2 linked regions of the Arabidopsis thaliana genome follow. The protein of the gene in region 1 interacts with the protein of each later gene in a pairwise test. Each region holds a gene or a part of one and is shown on either strand. Other genes may lie near its edges.

What was found. Proteins that work in one complex are often made in the same cells at the same time.
Region 2: the proteins of AT2G18876 (region 1) and NAD-ME2 interact in a two-hybrid assay, tested with the Arabidopsis thaliana proteins (one large-scale study listed by BioGRID).

The regions. Positions count from the first base shown.
Region 1 is NC_003071.7:8,167,489-8,171,241, reverse strand, and holds the start of AT2G18876 (Afadin/alpha-actinin-binding protein), read right to left. Parts: upstream 1,671-3,753; 5' UTR 1,560-1,670; coding exon 1,527-1,559; exon of another isoform or gene 1,438-1,526; coding exon 1,400-1,437; exon of another isoform or gene 1,328-1,399; coding exon 1,216-1,327; intron 1,136-1,215; coding exon 1,038-1,135; intron 662-1,037; coding exon 565-661; intron 491-564; coding exon 401-490; intron 275-400; coding exon 212-274; intron 133-211; coding exon 58-132; intron 1-57. Other genes in the region: VEL3 (vernalization5/VIN3-like protein), read right to left, coding at 2,574-2,605, 2,785-3,264, 3,351-3,539, 3,753-3,753.
Region 2 is NC_003075.7:245,069-248,821, reverse strand, and holds the start of NAD-ME2 (NAD-dependent malic enzyme 2), read left to right. Parts: upstream 1-2,017; 5' UTR 2,018-2,142; intron 2,143-2,264; 5' UTR 2,265-2,299; coding exon 2,300-2,449; intron 2,450-2,557; coding exon 2,558-2,654; intron 2,655-2,736; coding exon 2,737-2,855; intron 2,856-2,929; coding exon 2,930-3,226; intron 3,227-3,327; coding exon 3,328-3,388; intron 3,389-3,469; coding exon 3,470-3,573; intron 3,574-3,651; coding exon 3,652-3,735; intron 3,736-3,753. Other genes in the region: AT4G00580 (COP1-interacting protein-like protein), read right to left, coding at 10-109. UniProt on the Arabidopsis thaliana protein: Involved in the regulation of sugars and amino acids metabolisms during the night period.

The DNA of each region.
Region 1 (3,753 bases):
CGAAAGAGGATAGTCTAAGAAAACTCGATAATAGTTATTTCAAATCGCATATAGTACCTGGAGTAGATTCATAATCTCCATGCCTGATCTCGTTTCCTTCTTTTTCTCCATCAACACTTGGTTTAACCTCTCCTAAAACAAGATCAATTTTTAATTAATTAAGATTGAACCTATATTACAAACACTCTGAACTTGCTATGTGAACCCATACCTGTAACTTTATGTACTCTTTTTCTTTCTTTTTTGTTTCATGTAATTGTTGGGTCTTGACTTGCTTTCATACACAAACAATAACAAAATGTTCAAAAAGCATTGCATCAGCATTCCCAAATTCTTTGAAACATGATCCGCATCACAAAAAAACTGAGAATTCGAGCTGGTATTAAGCAACGATTCAAACCTGGTTAGCAATCACCATTCGTTGAAACTCATCTCTCTCTTTTTGAAGCTTCTCATTCTGCGTCTTTAAAGCCGCTGTATTTTTTGCTTCCTGACCAAAAAAAGTATGTCATGATCCATCATTACATGTTGTCCATATTCCAACCTCGGATATATATCTCTTACCGTTCTTGTCACCGAACCAAGTTCCCTTTCTTTAGCTTGCAATTGAGTCTCAAGCCTTTCAACTTTTGCTTCGAGTCTCGCCATATCGGATAAAAGTCTGAAGTAAACAAGAACTTGGTAAAAACAATGACATATCACATGCAGAAAGCTTCATAGATGCAACAAAAATGGCAATTTCAGTAACTTTATCTCAAGCATTTTTGTCTTCTTCTTTGCTCCCAAAAGAAGTTCACTATAACTATATTCTAAACACACATAAAACCAAAAACAGTAACAAAATCTAGATCACAGGGGTTTCATGTCTAAATCTAAACCAAAAACATATTCATAGCATGATCTATCTCACAGAGTCAATCTCATGCTTAAGAATGAACACTATCATAATGAAGCTACTAAATTAGTTTAACAACATCCATTAATTCACAATGCACATAGAAAAATCAACATTCAGATAAAAAAAACAAAATAGTCACCGTTGTCTCTGATCATTAGCAGATTCTCTAAATTCCACATCTCGTTGCCTCTGTTGAATCAAAGCGTATACGCAATTGCAAGTTCTAGCAATCGAAACCTAATACAAGTTCATCGAATCAGCTTCATCAAACAAATCGATAAACGAAAAAAAACAATTAGAGAATGATTAAAACGCACAGGATCGGTAGCGAAGAGGTCAAGCGAAGCAGAGAATCCAGAGGTGACTAAGCTCTGATTCAAATACTTAATACAGTTCTCCAGATTATCAACATCCGCGAAATTACGCTCCCTGATGGATACACAGAGTAAAAATCGAATCCAATCGGAGAACAAAAAACCTAGAAATGACGAGAAAACTCACCCGATCGGTGACTGTGAGAAACCAAACTGTGGCGTCAACTATAAAAGAAGCAAACACAACAAATGAAGCTTAAGAGAGATTTCGTGAAGCAGTGAGAGAGAATGATAGATAAAGAGAGAAGAATTACTCTGAAATCGAACTCCGGTACAGTCAATGACATCGATAACCGTCGTGTAGCCGCCGTGAAATTGACGCCGGAGATAAATAGAGAAAGAGACAAATTAAACTTTTTCACCAAAATCCAAAAAGATTAAAAAAGTGAGTCAAAAGCAGTGAATGTGTGTCTCTCTTGGATAGATCTATCTTGGGGAGTGAACAGACAATTAAATTAAATCATTTATAATTGGTTTGATTGTGTACGTAACGGTGCACTCAATGTATCCGTGTTTCTTCACGTGATTGTTTAGTGGTTCGATTTTTGCTTACGTGTATTATTATTAGTGGTCGTCTATAGTTTCGTTGGGTCTATCGCATTACTGAGAATAACTAAACAGCATTCAATAACTAACTTTGCTGAATTGTTGGGCGGGAGATGCCACGTAAGACTTAGCAACGTTTTTTACTCTAGCTAGTTCGTTGGAGTCGTGCAGAGCAATATCTTCGTCGTGACTCGTTGTGTATTATAAATTAAATTATGTATCATTTTTTGAAAATTGTAGTATATGTAACATTATACAAATATTATACTATTTGTATATATGCTAAATGTGAAATTGGGCATTGGTATACTCGACATCGCACATTTTGATATTTATGTGGCGTAATAAAGATAGCAACATAATTTTCAAAACCTCGTTAATAATTTTTTATAACATTTTCCAAGATTCTAAAGATGATCAACACAATTTTGATAAAGCAACCGATCAATTCTAAACTCATCCAAATCCAAAACCAAACTCTTTTAAAAAGAAATTGAAATTATATAAAAGTCGTAAATCCTTCACAATATTCATGGGGATTTGCTAGTCAAAATTTGCAAGAGATTTGCTAATTAACACTTTTGCAAATTTTGAAAGAGCTTTGTGAGTTTCTTTAGTTTGAAAGAACTGATTTGCGAGGATTGTTTTTCCTTTTACAACTCCTTAGCTAGTTATAGCCAATTTGCGAGGGATATATTGGTAAGAAATCCTTCTTTACAAATAGCTTGTTTTGATATGGTTATTATCTTGAACTTTCAACAATCGGGAAGAAAAAAAATACAACACACTAGAAAAAGAGAAAATCCATATCCAGCACCAAATTGTGATGTCCATGAAAATGCTAATGAAAAATTTTAAAAAAAAAGTTGAATTCTTTTTACGTGATCCCAAAGAAAAAAAAAAAAAAGACTGAAACTGCAAAGAATGCCTACATAATCTCTTCTAATCAATGTCGCGGCTTCTTACATGAGACACCACTACTGCCACCTCCATCGCGATCGCCAATCACAGAACCCTTGCTCCATATACAATCAGAGAATGTGTCAACGAGCTGCTCAGCCAGAGCCATTGAATCATCATTGAAAGCATTCATGAATGTCGTGACAGTATTTCTCTCCTGACTCGTAGCTCGTAGGCTAAACCAAGTCAAAAACTTTTGTCTAAAAGTGCTCTCAACATAACCTGAACACTCAAGCTTTCTTATGATCTTCACACATTGCTCAAGCCCTAAACCATAGCTTTCCGGATTCTTCTTCGCCTTCTCAGGTTTATCTTGATGGCCATTGATTTGGTCTGACATAAACTGAGGAGTGACGTTGGGGAAATTCTCCAAGACAGTTTCTTTTATGCCAAACTGATTTTCTCTAGAAGAAGTGTTTTGCTTCATCTGTCTTACATCAGAGTTGTTGAAGCAAACTCTTTTGCCTTGGCTCTTGGTTTCAGTTTCTAATGAAAAAATTGTTGCAATATAATGTGTGAGAAACTGAAAAATAGTGTAAATGAAAAATAACTTGTGTGAAACATGTTTTTACCTGAGGGTTGAACTGGAGTGTTATTACGCTTCCCATACGAACTTAAGTGCCGAGGCTTAGGGTTTTTCCTTCGTTTCTTTTTATCATCACTCAAATTAGAGTTACTTGCAGCTCCTGCGTGAAGTAAAATGACCCACCAATAGCTAATAGTAAAATGACCCACCAATAGCTTTTTTTTTTGACAAAAGACTTTTCCATTACCAAATTAAGCAAACAACAAATTGATCTTGAAAAGTAAAACACGATAATAAAAATTCACTAGTAAATTATGAGTAAAAGCATCACTATATATAAGCCGATCATCAAGAGTTGAAAAAGAAAAAAAAATCTCTAACAAGTCCAAGGCTTCATCTTAAAGCGAAAGCACTAAATTTCTAAAAACTGTCCCAAAAAGAAAATTACC
Region 2 (3,753 bases), on another chromosome or scaffold:
AAGAGTCACCTTTGAAAGAAGACACGCTATCATGACTGTCAAGGAGTAGCCCCAAACGGGTATCAATACTAGTCTTCACAAAGACACATTGCGAACCGGAATCAGCCATCAGTAAGATTATTGTAAGAGAAATGCAAAATAGGGTTTTGATGAAGTTGAGAAGAAAATGAAACTCCACTCTCTCTGTTTGATATTTATAAGCGAGTTTCTTTCGTAGAGGAATATGAAAAGCTTTATGTTTTTTTTGGGAAATCAAAAACGCTTAATTACTTGGGAAAACACAACGTGTAGGTCGATTCTCTCTTTTCATCGTCCTTTCGTCTTCTCTCTTTTGGTTTATGACTCATTGAAAGGGTTTGACCAGATCATAACTTCTTTCTCTATGGGCCAAATAAGTGGGCCTCACGTTATATGAAGACAGAGATTCTCTAAGGAAACCAGGAATACTAGGAATTGTTGAAAAGCAAAGCTATAAGGCGAGGAAGTTAGCTAAGGGCTTTTCACAGGACAATGGGTTGGAGCAGATGGATTTTATCAAGAGAGATGCAAGTCTATCTCAAGCAAAGAACCATAAATTTTCAAAAGACAAGTACCTGGTGTAGAATCATTGAAGAAACAGCTCCAAGTAATGCCGGTGTAGAATCATTGATCTAAAGTGAAGTGAAGTTTATGGTTTTCTCTTCATGAGCTAAAATGAAGTTGCAGGGAGAAGCTCGGGATCAATGGGTGCCTCAGACAAGCAAAGAAAACGGTTTAGTTTTCTGGTTTAAGCTCAAGTGGGAAATTGAGAAACTGACAACTACGTGTGTTTTGTAGTTACAAGTTACCTGAGCGGTTTTTTGCAGTCGTATAGACATCAAGACAGGGTTCGAAAGATTGTTCTTGTTGAGCTGCATTGCTGCAAGGTTTAAGAAATTCAAAACAGTGAGGAGATGTTGAAGATAAGTCACAGATGTCTTCAATGTTTAAGGTACAAAGAAAGTAGACAAGGCAAACAAAGTCATACATAGTTCTATTTCATGTACTTGAACAGGTTCTAAGATCAAACATCAGAGTGTATTAGAGAATTACCTGGGCCTGTGAAGAAGTTGCTGATGGAGTTAGAAACACCAAATATTTATTTATTAAAACACTAAGAACCATACATATATAGATTTCTCTATTTCCAAAAATAGAATTAACCATAGTCAAGATCTTTCTCAATGTAAAAGAAAAATACTAATATTTTTGTTTAGAGTTCAGACTACGTACGTAATATTTTTCATATCGTATATGAATTTTTATTCGAGTTTCTTTTTTACCTATTTGGATCGACAAAGAATTTTGGATCGAGTTTATTGGCCGACAAAAGACAATTAAGATTATAGTTATTTGTTAGTAGTATTTGATTATGAAATACCAACACATCTTGAATGTTTTCTTTATGTCAAAATAAATAAATAAATGCATGCATTCTTTTTTTTTTCCCTTGCCCTTAACTATGTTTAATTTTGCTGTGATCAAATTTATAGGATTCGAAATCTTGACATGAATGAATGGTAGGAAAAAAAAAAAAGCACTGTTTAAGAGTTAAAAGCTGACGGTGTCAAGTCGCCGCAGCGAATATTTTTTTGTAAAAGAATGGTTTACACTTAAAACACTCGAATCTCAAATTTATATATTACCTTTCCTTTTCTCTAATTTCTCTACTTGGTACTTTTTTTATTTTAGGAAGACGTAATATTTGTTACCAGAGGCACACGCATGGGTAAAAGCGGAAACACCAGAACGCGGATACACGTGTCATTGATCTAACGGTGAGTTAGCCAATATCCTTTGACCTCTAGTCTCATCACCAATATGCCTGGAAAATGATTCACAACCGTCCACGTGGCGATCTATATATCCACATTTACTTTTATACCCTCTTTGCCCGTTTTCCTTCGGGCAACTTCAGTTTTTGTTTCCTTGTATTTATTGACTTTTGAATAAAAGAATTATTTCTTCTTTACAATTTTAGAAAATTGGAAAGCTTTATTTATTGTCTGACCCTTTTACTATTCTTCGGGCAGCTGTTCTTAAAGACATCTTCCCTCTTCCTCAGACACAGCTTCTTCTACTGGAGAAGAGGAGGAGAACACAAATCCAATTCACACTGGAAACGTAAGAAGAAGCGATCAAAGCTTAAACTTCTCTTTGACTCATCATTGTTGTTCTCTCTGTTTTATTTTTCTTCTCAATTTCTTGTTTGAACTTGTGAAAATCATTGAATTGCAATTGTGTAGTGTTGGGTCGGATCCTGAGTGATATTTCGAGACCGATGATGTGGAAGAACATTGCTGGGTTGTCGAAGGCAGCGGCAGCGGCAAGAACACACGGATCTCGGCGGTGCTTTTCCACAGCGATTCCTGGTCCTTGCATCGTCCACAAGCGTGGTGCTGATATTCTTCACGATCCATGGTTCAATAAGGTTGTGTGTTTTATCCTCGATCTTCTGAATTTTAGGGTTCTAAAAATTGATTATAATGCTGATGGTTGTTGTTGTTATGGTCTCTCTATCTCTTTGGTGCTTTTGCAGGACACAGGTTTTCCTTTGACTGAGAGAGATAGATTAGGGATACGAGGCTTGCTTCCTCCTCGTGTTATGACCTGTGTACAGCAATGTGATCGTTTCAGTAAGTTTTGATTCCAAGTAAATCTCATTATGTTTCTTTCTATTGTTTCTGAGACTTTTGGTTTTGAAACATAATTTGGCAGTTGAGTCGTTTCGTTCGCTAGAGAACAACACAAAAGGAGAGCCTGAAAACGTTGTTGCATTAGCTAAATGGAGGATGTTGAATAGATTGCATGACCGTAATGAGACTTTGTACTACCGAGTGAGTCTTTTTGGCTCTAAATACTGTCCCACATTGACACATCTCTGAGACATCATAACTCATCTTCTCTGCAGGTTCTTATTGATAACATCAAAGATTTTGCCCCCATTATATACACTCCTACGGTTGGACTTGTTTGTCAGAACTATTCTGGTTTGTATAGAAGACCAAGAGGAATGTACTTCAGCGCCAAAGACAAAGGAGAGATGATGTCTATGATTTATAACTGGCCTGCTCCGCAGGTAGATATGATTGTCATCACTGATGGTAGCCGTATTTTGGGCTTAGGAGACCTTGGAGTACAGGGAATTGGGATTCCTATTGGAAAGCTCGACATGTATGTCGCTGCTGCAGGAATCAATCCACAGAGAGTATGTTGATCTCCACATGATCTTGTGTGTGTTTTTTTGTTTGCTGTACCTAACTAAGGTTTCACCTCCTTATTCAAAATTATACGCTTGTTCCTCTGCAGGTTTTGCCAATTATGTTGGATGTAGGCACAAATAATGAAAAGCTCCTACAGAATGATCTCTGTAAGCTGTGAACTTAATTGGTCCATGTGGTGTACATGTGTTTCCCTAATATCTCATTCGTCTGTCTTTCCCTTTGTACAGATTTAGGAGTCAGACAACCTAGGTTGGAAGGAGAGGAGTACCTTGAGATTATTGATGAATTTATGGAAGCTGCATTTACACGTTGGCCAAAGGCCGTCGTACAGGTATATATCTCTTACTATCTTCTTTAGATTTACCTTTCGGTTGGAAGGATGACTAAATGATTCATTCCATCATTTTAGTTCGAAGATTTCCAAGCGAAATGGGCTTTCGGAACATTGGAAAGATATCGGAAGAAATTTTGCATGTTCAATGATGATGTCCAGGTATGCTCACAATTTTGC